Sus scrofa: one gene and its partner. The protein of the gene in region 1 interacts with the protein of each later gene in a pairwise test. Links are inferred from orthologs where the notes say so. Each region holds a gene or a part of one and is shown on either strand. Other genes may lie near its edges.

Region 1 (6,099 bases):
CCCCGCCTCTCACCCCTCCCAGAACCAGAGAAGACAGGCAGGGCCACCAAATGGCTCCCTCTGCTCGCCTCTCTCCTTTGCCCAAGTGGAGGCAGGTGAGCGCAGCACAGGGCCGGGTTGGCTGCAGTGACGGGGTGGCCAGGGCTGGCCAGGGCTGACCAGGGCTGGGGTGGGAGGGCTGCTTGGGCGGCGGAGGGCAGGCGCGGGGGCGCTTCTCATCCTGGGAGCTGCTGGCTGGCCAGGGCACAGAGCTCAGGGCACCAGGACGCGGTAGGGGCTGCCCGGGATGTGCTCGTCGCCCCATTTGACCACCAGCGTGTACTCCCCCTTGTCCTTGAGCAGGTAGGAGACGCTGTAGAGCCTGCTGCCCACGTGCTTCACCAGGATCTCCTCGCAGGGCGTTCGGGGGCCATGCACGCCCACCAGCAGCATGTTGTTGCCTGGGGGTGGGGGGTGGGGGTGGGAGCCTCAGTTCTAGGCCCCAAGCCCCCTCCCTTCGGCTCTGACCCCGCTGTCGCCCTTCTCCTGTCCTGCAGCCCCCCCCCCCGCCCCCGCCAAAGAGCTGCCGGCACCCCACCCCCCGGGCTAGCAAAGGAAACTCCAGCTCCTTCAGGGCGCCGTCCTGAAGAAAGGCAGAGGAGGCCCAGATGGGAAGCGGCTCTAGGAGGGACAGCCTCATCCCCAAAGACACCCCCCCCCCCACTTCGCCCCGTCCTGCGGTCCCGGGCGCTGGCTCTCTCTCTGCTCCTACTTGTGGCCTCTGCGGAAGGCCGCGGCCTGGGCGCCCACCTGCTTTGCTGCAGTCTACCGTGAAGCTGCCCTTCTGGCCCACGTAGGCCTTGCTCAGCCCCAGGCCCTTGGCCAGCACCTTGCTGGCGTCGGCGGCACCTGGGCCCGGGGCCCCATGCTGGGGGGCACTGGCAGTCTTGGTCAGGGAGTCCACAAACACTGACGACGTCTCGTGGAGGCTGTGGTTGCTGACGAGACGGTGACCTGCAGGGCAGAGCAGGCAGGGCTAAGAGGTGGCTGGAGGGCCAGGCCTCGGGCGGGCTAGCAGGAGGCTCGTACAAGGCTCACCGGTGACTCTGGCCTTGAAGGGGCTGCCCCCAATGTGGTAGGGGCCACCATACTTGATGGAGATGAGGTAGCTGCCAGGTGCCATGGGGGTGTAGGTGACGCGGTAGCCCTCCGGGCACTCCTGGCAATCCATCTTCACCTTGGAGGGCCCGTCGATGGTGACCGACAGGGCACCGGCTCCCGCATTGCTCGTGTTCACAATAAACTCGGCGGGGCTCCCTGGGGGCACGGGAGGTTAGACAGAGCTGGCCTGGCCTGTTCCCTGCCCCCCGCCCCCAGCGTAGCCTTGTCACCTCCACACGCCTCCTGTTGTCACCGAGAGCTCGGAGGAGGGGCCCTAGCAGTTGTGTCCACACAGCAGAAGCTGCAGCCACTGACCCACCTGTGACGCCGCCTTCCAGGCCAGCTCCGTAAGCGGACACCAGGCCTGGGTCCCCTCCATGCCCAGGCTCCCCGACTCGGATCTTGAAGGGGCTTCCAGGGATGTGGGTGCCATTGAACTTGACATCAATCAGGTAGACGCCGTTCTCTCGTGGGATAAAGCGCACAGCGTACTTATCTGAGGAACAGAGGAGGGCTCCGTGGGCCTGAGAGCCCTCCTCCTGAACTGAGCAAGCGGCACCTGTGGAGAGCTTCCCTTGCCCACCCCTTTTCAGGGGACCGTGCTGGGCACCCCCACCCCCACCCCCGCCACAGTGCAGACCTCCTGAAGCCTGACGGGTGAAGTGTCAGGTGCCCAAGCTACTGCCAGGACGCTCGCTTGGTAAAGCAGAACACCTGCCATGACGCCTCCCTAGGAAGATGAGTCCCCCACATCCCCCCATGTTAACTGGGGCCCAGAGACAGGCAGGAACTCGCTCGGAGTCATGTGGCCGGGAAGGGGCAGGACTGGGCTGTTGTCACCAGTGGAACTGGGCCGAGCAGCCCCCACAGCTAGGCTTCGTTCGGGTCCCTAGCTGCATGGCTGGTGCGCCAGGTCCCCAGGGACTTGGGGACACAAGTGCGGGAAGCGCTGCCTGGCCGAAGGGGCAGCTGCGCTCTGGCTCGGCTGCCTCCGGTCTGTGCCTTTCCTTCGCACTCTCGGCTTGCTTCCAGCCAGCGGGACAGGCCGGGGGGAGGCCCACGGCTCCCAGCGGGGCCAGGGCAGATGGCTGGGTGGCTGGGCAGGGACAGGGCCTCACCTTGGTCGATCTCTGTGACATAGCACTCCTCCAGGGCTCCCGAGGGGCTGTGCACCTTGGCATCGATCGCCCCCTTAGCCCCATTCAGGCTGACTGCAAAAGAGGCTGGCTGGTTGACCTTTAGCCCTGACTCCTGGAAGCATAGCAGACGTGGTTAGGGGGGCCGGGGCCGGGGCGGGGGCCAGGGCAGGCAGGGCCCCAGAAGCAGGAGGCCCACGGGGTTGCACTTACCCATCTGGCGTCCAACTTGGTTTAAAGAGGGAGAGCCACTGATCCTTGAGGGGCAGCACGCTCCAAGCACACGCTCCCGCTCCCGCTCCCAGACCCAAGCTCTACAGGCACACGCTGGGGGGGGGGTGCGTGGCGGCAGCAGGGGGGGCTGCCCCATGGGCAGCGCTCAACCCTGGCAGGCTGTCCCTCTTTAAACCTCAGCCCTGGTGCTCAAGGGGCACAGGCTTCTGTTCAAAGCCTTTAGACCTGAGACACGAGAAAAACTCCACGCGGCGGTCAGGGGTACTTCCTGCCGACCCCGAGCGTGGGCTGCACCCGGCCAGAGCAGAAGCCCGGTGCCCTGAGCCGGGCGGGGCGGGTCCCTCCACACAGGGCCGAGGCCTGCTCTGTGCGGTGGCTCTGGTCTGGCCGGGCCCAGGAGCCCCAGACGGGCGGTTTCTCTCAGTGCCTCACCTGAAGACTAGAAACAGTAAGGCGGCGGGCGTCACCAGACGGAGAGGCCACGGGCACCACAAAAGGGCTGTCAGGGATGTGCTCCTCGTTGAACTTGACGGAGACCTCGTAGTCACCTGGGCAGGGAAGGAGCCAGGTCGGCCATGGCAGTCGAGCCCGCCGCCTCCCACGAACAGCCCGAGGGGCCCTGGGACCTCAAGCTGGAGGGTGGGAGCCGGGCAGGGCTGCGTCTGCGTGGAACCGGATCAACAGCCACAGCCCAGCCTGGCCGCCCCCGCCCCCGCCCCTCAGTACCTGGCTCCTGGACCACATAGGCCACGCCGCAGGAGCCGTCCTTGCGGTCCTCGAAGGAGATCTCGGCCTTGCTGGGGCCCTCAACAGCAATGGCCAGGCCCCCGGCGCCAGCTTCCCTGGTCCAGATGCTGAACTCAGCTGTGGGAAAGTAGCGCGCCCTCATGGACGGCTGGCCGCCCCTCACCCCCGCCGCCGGCCCCCTCCAAGCAGGGCTGAGATGAGCTTGGCTGCTTCCCCCCGCACCCCCAGGAGGAGCATGAGCCCCGCAGGAAGGAGGCAGGCCTACCTGGCACTCCAGCTTCAGCCCTCTCCAGGCCAGGGCCCCCGGCGCGGACCTTGTGGGCGCCCCCTTCCCCCAGGGGCCCCACGGTGAACTGGAAAGGGCTCCCAGGCACGTGCTGGCCCTTGTACTTGACGCTGACCGTGTGCATGCCCATCTCAGCGGGCACGAAGCGGATGCAGTAGGTATGGTTCTCCCCTTCCACGATCTCAGCCTCGTGGCTCTTGCCTGATGGGCTGGTCACCTGGGCTGTCATGTCCTGGATGCTAATTTCTGTAGGTGGGGGACAGCCTGGTGAGCAGGAGAGCCAGGCCCCAGCCCTTCGGGGTCCCCTAGGGCTGGCACCCAGGGGCTCCCTGGGACCCCTCCCTGGCTCCCTATAGCTCCTACCAGGGATCTTCAGGCTGAGGTCGCAATGACTGCCGACATTAGCCACCGAAGGAGCCCGTTGCCTGCGTGTGATGCTCTCTTTCACCCGGCCCTCACCGGTCACTTTCACGGAGAACGGGCTGCCTGCAGGGAGAAAGCACGACCCACATCCCGCACAGGCGACACTCGGCAGCTGGACCCCGGGGAGCGACAAGGACGGAGGGGTGCCCCGCCCTGGGGAAGGTGTGTGGGCGCCACCCTCACCAGGCACGTGTTGGTCGGCGAACTTGATGTTGATGATGTAGTTGCCCGGCTCCGTGGGGCAGTAGGTGACCCTGCACGTGCCATCCTCCAGGTCCTCTGTGTTGATGTCCACCTTGCTGGGACCCTCGATGGACAGGCTGAGCCCACCGTAGCCTGCGGGAGAGCCATCCCTGAGCCAGGGGGCCCAGGACAGGGGTCTCACTCACCCCAGCGCCTGGGCCACCACCACCTACCTGCATCACGGGTGTCAATGATAAACTCTGCAGGCTCAAAGGTGTGGCCTTCGTGGAGGCCCCGGCCCGAGACCCGCACGCGGCTGGCATCCCCGATCTCCGACTGGCTGATCACCACTGGGATGGGGCTGCTCGCCACATGCTGGCCATTCTTCTTCACATGCACCAGGTGCTCGCCTGTCTCCTTGGGCACGAACGAGATCCCTGGGCACGGACGGGGCGGGGGGAGGGGGCGTCAGCCAGGGAAAGGTGCGACCCTGCCCTCCAGCCTCCCTCCTTTCCAGAAGGCCTTTCTCCCCAGCTCCTTACCCACGTGGCCATTGCGCAGCCTCTTCAGCAGGCAGGGCTCCTCCCGGCCTGAGGGTGGCACCACCGTGGCTGTCAGCAGGCTGAGGTCCGTCTCGGAGATATTGATGGGGATGTCGGCGGCAGAGCCCACTTTCAGGTGGGACATGCGCATCGAGTCGTCACCTGGCGGCAGGGGACGGGCCTGTGTGTCCAGGCCCAGAGGGCGACCGCGCCCACCCTGCCTCCTGCCTCCTGCCTCCTTTTGGCACCGCTCCAGGTACCACCTACCTGTGACCCTGGCCGTGAAGGGGCTGCCTGGGATGTGCTGCTCGTTGTACTTGACCAGGATGCTGTAGTCGCCAGGCAGCACGGGCAGGTAGGAGACGCTGCACGTCCCATCTTGGTTGTCGGTGCAGCTGATTTCGGCTTTGGATGGCCCCTCGATGGCCAGGGACAAGCCTCCTGGAGAGAGGGGTGGGTGAGGGGGGAACCGTGCCCAGGGACAGCAGTGCGCCAACGAGGGGACGCTTGCACAGGCGAGCAGAGGCAGGCCGGGGGGAGGGAGGGGAGCCCGTCTGGGGAGCGTCTGCAGGGGCCCGCCCTCCACCAGACGCGGTATCCAGTGACAGCCGGGTGGGTCCAGACGAAAGCTGCCGCTCACCCTCTCCCGCATCCTTGGTGTTGACGGTGAAGACAGCAGGCTTGTTCACCACCCCGTGGCTGAGGCCGGGCCCGTAGGCCGTGACGTGGCCGCAGTTGACATAATCCACATAGAACTGCAGGGGGCTTCCTGAGGCGGGAAGAGGGCCATGGGGGATGGGGGGCCTCGTGCCGTCCCCAGGCCCCACCCCCGGCACCACGCCCCCTCGAGACAGAGACGCCGGGGCACGCACCTGGGATGTGCATATTGTCGTAGCGGATGTCCATCTCGTGCAGGCCGGCCTCACTGGGCGCGTAGCGCACGGTCACGGTGCCGTCCTTGTTGTCGGTGATGGCTGGCTGCGCCACCTTGCCCGAGGGCATCCGCACCTCCCCTGCGGGGCAGTGGGGCCCGGGTCAGGGCAGCCTGTCGGGACACCCTGGCCTCCGCAGGGGCTCCCGCCCCGCTTCCCGCCCCTGCTCACCAGTGATTTCGCCCTTCTTGATGGTGAAGGGGATGACAAGGTCGAAGGGCCTCAGGCTGGTCACATCCAGCCCGTTGACGCCCACCAAGGGTCTTTCTGGGGCCTGCGGTGGAGACAGAGGGCCTGCGTGAAGAAGCGCCCGAGTCCCCGGGGGGAGGACCCGGGGTACCCCCCTCACGGGTGAGCCAGGTGGCCGCCCCCCCAGGACCCCCGGGGGCCGGGCCATACCCAGGTCTGCTGGCCGCCCTGGGCGTAGGTGTACGGCGGGGCCAGCTGCTGCGGCCGCAGCGGGGGCTGCACCGAGG
Region 2 (6,680 bases), on another chromosome or scaffold:
CTTTGATAAAAGAATGGCTCAAGGAGACGGCTATAAAAATTCACTTACCTCTTTCTAGGGTTGCCAGGTTTTCCAAATAAAATCATAGGACACCAATATAAATATGCCCACGTATTGCATGGGACATATTTATATATGAGAGTATTTGTCATATATCTGAAATTCAAATTTAACTGAGTGTCCTGTATTTTTTAATTTAGTTTTTATGTCTCAAATATTTCTTTGTTTCTTTGGCTGTAGCATGTAGCAGCATGATGTGGGATCTCAGTTCCCAGACTAGGGATTGAATCCAAACTGCAGTGGTGAAAGTGCCAAGTCCTGACCCCTAGATCACCAGGGAACTCCCTGTCCCAAATATTTCATGGATATACTTATACTAAAAAATTGTTGTGTATCTGAAATTCAAATTTAACTGTCCTCAATTTTTAAAAAATTATGTTCCAAATATTTCATGGAACATGCTTTACTAAGAAATTATTTGTGTGTATATCAACTTTATTTTTTAAAATTGAAGTATAGTTGGTTTACAATATTATATTACTTTCAGATGTACAATATTCAATATTTTTACAGCTCATATTCCATTTAGTTATTATGAATATTGGCTTTATTTCCTGTACTGTACAATATATCCTTATCGCTTATTTATTTTATGTGAATCTCAACTTTAAAATATAAGACTATACTGTATAGCACAGGGAATTACAGTCAATATTTGATAATAAGCTATAAAGGAAAAGAATCTGAAAAAGAATCTGTATATATGTCTCTCTATATATAGACATATATATGCATAACTGAGTCGCTATGCTGTACACCTAAAAACAAGACATTATAAATCAACTATACTTCAATTTAAAAAAAAGGAAAAGAGGAGTTCCCCTCATGGTGCAGCAGAAAAGTATCCAAATAGGAACCATGAGGTTGTGGGTTCACTCTTTGGCCTTGCTTGGTGGGTTAAGGATCCAGCGTTGCCATGAGCTGTGGTGTAGGTCATAGACGAGGCTCAGATCTGGTGTTGCTGTGGCTCTGGCGAAGGCCAGCCGTTACAGCTCCAATTAGACCCCTAGCCTGGGAAACTCCATATGCCACAGGTGCAGCCCTAAAAAGACAAAAAAAAAAAAAAAAAAGAAAGGAAATAAAATAAAATATAGGACTGGGTGTTCTGTGTTTTATCTGGCAATCCTATCTTTGATGCTTAACTATACTGGGAGGGAATTTTCTCCCTGAAGGTATGATACTCCCCACCCTGCTTCACTAGCTCTAAGCTACAGTTTTAGTTTCAGAGGTGGGCTGTAACTCATCCTGGAGATATTGGGGGCTTTATGTATCTGGAGGGTTAATGAGCTTCTAAGTTTGCAGGGAGGGGAAGTTGGTAATATTTTGGGCTACCAAGAAGCTGTCAGAAGAGGCACTGGCTTTGAGAGTAGTAACACTCCAAACTCACCATTGAGCTGTCAGAGAAGACATCAGGGTGATTTTCATAGATAAACTTCTCCACCCTCATTTGCCGTAGTTTGAACATCTTAGAGCCCCGGTTAGTGAGCAGCGACAACTCCTCCAACATCACATCCCTTGGGACACTGATCTTCTTGCCCAGGTTCAGGCCTGAGCTCTCCTGTCCACCTTTCAGGGAAGTGGGGATGCAGAAGCAAGGAAAAGAGGAAAGCAGGGTTTTTCTAGGCTCCAAATGCATCCGCCATCCACAGCAAAGTGTGTGTTTCCCAGCAGACATCGCTGAGGGAAGCAGACCTTGTCTGTGATGTCTGATCAAATGCTATCTAGTTTAACAGGGCTTTTGATTTCCTGGATTTGGAGCTGGAGAGAATGCATGGGAACTGGGGTGCAGAGTGGAGACAGTGGGGATACTAGAGTGTAGTGACGAGGGTGAATGGGGTGAAAGGGTATGGGGTACAGGGCAAAAGAGTCAAGAAACACCACAGATGGAGGTCACTGGGGAAACTATAGCATGGGGGAAAGCCCAAAGGCCACCTCTAAATATAGTCTGCTGTCTTAACCCCTTTCCCTTTTCTTCCCCTCAGTGAACTCTGGCTGCAAACAGCCTCTAGGTATTGGGAGAGCTCTTCATACGCACGTACTCCTACCACCCTCAGGAAAAATGCTTGAGCAATTTTCCATTTTAAGTGCTTGTACAAGGCTCCTAAGCTCTGGGGAAAGATGTAAGGAAATTAACCACTTATTGAGACCTTATTCCATGCCAGTCTCCGTGTATATTTTTTCTCCTCAAACATACCTCACTGACCTGTGGGTCCTGTTGTCCTGGACCTGTGCTGGGTAACATGGCATGGGTGTTATTGTCTCAGATTACAAGGTGAAAAGGGTGGAAGGGTGAGTAGTCAGAGTTGAATTCTTTCTCCCTCTTTCTCCCTCCCCCCACCTTCCCTCCTCAGTTCCTCTTGTCTCTTCATATCTTTTCACCCTAATACATGTATAAATGTATAATATTTCTGGAACTCTTGGGGCAGAGATACTCTTTTTTTTCCTTTTTTGTTTTGGCCCATGTGCAGTGGCTTGAAGTGGGATCTCATTTCCCCAACCAAGGACTACACTCAGGCCACAGTGATGAAAGCACCAAATCCTAACCACTAGACCACCAGGGAACTCCCCCGAGATCCTCTTAATAAATCCCACACCAGTCAGGTACAAACATGCCATACCTCCAGTGAGTTCCATGATCAGCTTGCTGGATTTCCTCTTCTTGTTTGGGGCTGGGGTCCCTGAGAGCGGCATTGTGGAGGTGGGTGGAGCCTGGATAGGGTGAGAAGGGGGAGCTAAAGGATGGACAAGGAATGTAGGGGGAGGTGGCAGTGTCTACAGTAAGGCAGTGCTTAAGGACTTCAGGGAGCAAAATTTCATTAGATTTTCAAGGAAACATATATTCCCCTAAAAGGTGAAAACTCGTTGCTTTAGGGCTTCTCTTCTTGGGAAGCAGGGCAGAAAGCATAGATGCACCCCCTCCCCCTACCTTCTACCAACCTTTTTTCAGCCCTTTTACAAAGAGTTGGTGCAAGGCTTAGGAACAACAATGTGTATTGGGAGGCTGGGGGTAAAACAAACAAATTAATACAGGCAGGGCGATGCGACCAGGTTTCACAGGTTTGGCATGATTTGAAGTTTTTATTTGCAGGGGGCTCTCAGATTGGGAATGTCATTCCAAACTCTGGTCTCTCACTCTTCACCAAGTCCCGGGGGGTGGGGGAGTGGAGCAGAAAAAAATGTCCTGCCAGTGTTGACATGATCCAGCCAAAAACATTCTCCATAGGAAGGAGAGGTTATTGTCCCTCCATTCGGCCAGCTGGATCATGGCCTGGGAGGTCACAGCAATGTTCCTGCTCCCTTTCAGTCACTCCCCGCCCCCCAGACCCCAGAACTGGAGTGGAGAGGGAGGTCAGGGAACATGTGAACTCTGCTGCATGTCAATTCAGCAATACCATAGCAGTGGGAAATTCAAGGAGGACAGGCCATAATAATAGGATCTGGCCGTGGAGGGGGACAAGCTGGGGAAAAATACAGATTCCAGCCCCTCCTTCACAGAAGTTGGCACTCAGCAAAATGCTGTTTTCTGCTGAGTCCTGTCTCAAAACTCATATGCAATTCTACTAGCGTAGTGGGGTCTGGTGAGGCCAGAATCCAGGAATTGCTAAATGGACTCTCCCTGTACCTCTCTCAGCAGCAACCAGGTTCTTATTTCCCATCCAGTATCCCAGACCCCTTTCTTATTCCTCCAGGGCCTCCCCCATCATCTCCATTCCCCCCACCCTCTTGGGCCCTTCTCCTTCCAACTCTCGTGGCTCCCCTGAGCTGGACAACTGAGAGCTGAGTATAGATGGGGGAGGAGGGCAACTGCCCCAGGACCAAGGGTCACTGTTATAGACACAGACACAGCAGTTCATGGAGTGGGCTCCGACCCCTCTGGTCATAAAGCTGGAGACTTACCGGCTGCTCAGGCGGTGGTCAGCTCTCCCTGGGGTCCAGCAGCTTTGGAGGACTGAGCTGCTGTGACGGGAGAACCCGAGCTGGGCAGGCGTGGGGGCAGCACTGGCAGTGGGGGAGGGAGGGTGGTTATTAATAGAGATGATGAACGCAAGCAGCTCAAATGGCACAGGGGGTACCAAGACCCTGGAACCAAGATCCCTCCCTCCTTGCCCAGAGGCTCAGGAAGGGGAGGCAAAGGTCTTTGGGATTCTCCCAGGAAGCTGTCTGGGTCAGGGATTAGTCTGCCCAGGGACTCCCCTTCCTTGGCACCTAGAGGCTGAGATTCAAAGAAGCATTCAGGGAGAAACTGAAAACTGAGAGGGAGAAAGGAAGCAGGCAGCAAGTGGTGGACAGGAATTTGGAGTGGGAGAGTAAGAACCCGGAGAACATGTCCAGAGAGCCATTCAGAGCCAATCCAGGCTGGAGCTGGAGGGACAAATGGGTGCACTTTGGGGGTGGGAGGGCTTAAGGTGCTATGGTTTTTTTTGTTTTTTCCTTCTTTTTATGGCCACACCTGCAGCATATAGAAGTTCCTGGGCTAGGGGTCGAAGTGGAGCTGCATCTGCCAGCCTATACCACAGCCATAGTAACTCGGGGTCCAAGCCACATCTTTGACCTACACCACAACTCGAGGCAATGCCAAATCCTTAACCCACTGAGTGAGGCCAGGAGTCAAACCTGCATCCTCATGGTTACTAGCCAAATTCTTAGCTCGCTGAGCCACAATGGGAACTCCGAGGTGCTATGATAAAGGAAGGGAAATCTGTTCACAATGGAACTGCCCTTTGAGAGTTCCTTTTTTTTTTTTTTTTTGTCTTTTTTTTTTTTTTTTTTTTTTTGCTATTTCTTTGGGTGGCTTCTGTGGCATATGGAGGTTCCCAGGCTAGGGGTCTAATCAGAGCTGTAGTCGCCGGCCTACCCCAGAGCCACAGCAATGCGGGATGCAAGCCGCGTCTGCAACCTACACCACAGCTCACGGCAACACGGAACGCCGGATCGTTAACCCACTGAGCAGGGGCAGGGACCGAACCCGCAACCTCATGGTTCCTAGTCGGATTGGTTAACCACTGCACCATGACGGGAACTCCGAGAGTTCCTGAACAGGATGGTCTACCTCTGGAAGGGCCAGATCTTGGCAGGACAAGGGACCATATTAACCAAAGCCAGTACTTAGGCAGTCAGGGATAATGTGGGTGAAGATTTGACCAATTTCTGCCTTTCCACTCCCATTTGCCATTGGAGTGTTCAGTTCAGCCTGCTCTGCTGGATAGATGTCACTCTCTCTCCCTGGAAGTACATGTAGGCTCTGAACTGCCAGGACTTTACTCTCTGAGGTTCCTACTTAGCATTTTCCCCTAAGGGAGCACATACCTCATGGGATCTGGACTGTCCCATTCACAAGGGTCTAGAGACACCTCTGGACAGGGGAACAAGTTTGAGAAGGCCCTGGAGGGAAATGGTCATTTTTCTTTCCTTCTTTTTTTTTTTGGCTTTTTGGGGCTGCACCCTCAGCATATGGAAGTTCCCAGACTAGGGGTCAAATCGGAGCTACAGCTGTTGACCTACACCGTAGCCATAGCAACACAGAATCCGAGCCTCATTTGTGACCTACAGCACAGTTCATGGCAACACTGGGTCCTTGACCCACTGAGTGAGCGAGGCCTGGGATTGAAACCACATCTTCACAGATACTAGTCAGATTCGTTTCCACTGCACCACAACGGGAACTCTGGGAAACCTGTCATTTGCCCAGCCCCTTCCTCAGTAGCTGCATGAACATCCTGGATACTCCTCTATGTACTGATCAGGTTTTGGAACCAGCTGCTGCACCTCTGCTGTACCCATCACCACCCTGTTGTGGCTACCTTAGGACATGGCTTTTGTAACTCCCAGAATACCTTTCTATCCCTCTGTGAGCGATCCACTCTTCCTGACCATGCCCTTTGCCCATCCTCAGCTTTACAGGTTCAGGTTAGGGGCTGAAATGTTACGCTTGTCCTCTCTACTTGGCCTCTGCCCTGACCACTTTAGCCTCCAGATCCCTCATCTTCCTTCTCCACTTCCTCCTAACACAAAGAAGCAATGAGATGGAAACAAAGCAAAACAAAAAAACAAAACATAAATAGCAAAAGGTGATTTCATTGGAGTTCCTGTTGTGGCTCAGTGGTTAATGAAGCTGACTAGCATCCATGAGGATACAGGTTTGATCCCTGGCCTCGCTCAGTGGGTTAAGGAACTGGCATTGCCAAGAGGGGTGGTGTAGATCACAGGCGCAGCTCGGATCCTGAGTTGATGTGGCTGTGGCTGTGGCTGGCGTCTACAGCTCCTATTTGACCCCTACCTGGGAACCTCCATATGCAGCTAGTGTGGCCCTAAAAGACAAAAAAACAAAAACAAAAACAAAAACAGGAGTTCCTGTCGTGGCTCAGTGGTTAAAGAATACGAGACTAGGAACCATGAGGTTGCGGATATGATCCCTGGCCTTGCTCAGTGGGTTAAGGATCCGGCACTGTGTGAGCTGTGGTGTAGGTTGCAGACGCAGCTCGGATTCCGCATTGCTGTGGCTGTGGTGTAGGCCGGTGGCTACAGCTCCGATTTGACCCCTAGCCTGGGAACCTCCATATGCCACGGGAGCAGCCCTAGAAAAGGCAAAAAGGCAAAACAAAACAAAACAAAAAAACAAA

What was found. The genes of interacting proteins can lie anywhere in the genome.
Region 2: the proteins of FLNA (region 1) and MYOZ1 interact in binary tests that used the Homo sapiens proteins (3 or more experiments, as listed by UniProt). The link is inferred for Sus scrofa from reciprocal best matches to the Homo sapiens genes FLNA and MYOZ1.

What each region holds. Positions count from the first base shown.
Region 1 is NC_010461.5:124,908,832-124,914,930, reverse strand, and holds part of FLNA (filamin-A), read right to left. Parts: coding exon 6,023-6,099; intron 5,898-6,022; coding exon 5,795-5,897; intron 5,705-5,794; coding exon 5,564-5,704; intron 5,461-5,563; coding exon 5,332-5,460; intron 5,133-5,331; coding exon 4,959-5,132; coding exon of another isoform or gene 4,854-4,958; coding exon 4,692-4,853; intron 4,587-4,691; coding exon 4,383-4,586; intron 4,303-4,382; coding exon 4,150-4,302; coding exon of another isoform or gene 4,030-4,149; coding exon 3,907-4,029; coding exon of another isoform or gene 3,790-3,906; coding exon 3,523-3,789; intron 3,375-3,522; coding exon 3,237-3,374; intron 3,059-3,236; coding exon 2,943-3,058; intron 2,392-2,942; coding exon 2,259-2,391; intron 1,637-2,258; coding exon 1,078-1,636; intron 994-1,077; coding exon 790-993; intron 441-789; coding exon 1-440. UniProt on the Homo sapiens protein: Promotes orthogonal branching of actin filaments and links actin filaments to membrane glycoproteins. Anchors various transmembrane proteins to the actin cytoskeleton and serves as a scaffold for a wide range of cytoplasmic signaling proteins.
Region 2 is NC_010456.5:76,448,779-76,455,458, forward strand, and holds the start of MYOZ1 (myozenin-1), read right to left. Parts: upstream 4,169-6,680; 5' UTR 3,958-4,168; intron 2,776-3,957; exon of another isoform or gene 2,770-2,775; 5' UTR 2,752-2,769; coding exon 2,679-2,751; exon of another isoform or gene 1,736-2,678; coding exon of another isoform or gene 1,627-1,735; coding exon 1,448-1,626; intron 1-1,447. UniProt on the Homo sapiens protein: Myozenins may serve as intracellular binding proteins involved in linking Z-disk proteins such as alpha-actinin, gamma-filamin, TCAP/telethonin, LDB3/ZASP and localizing calcineurin signaling to the sarcomere.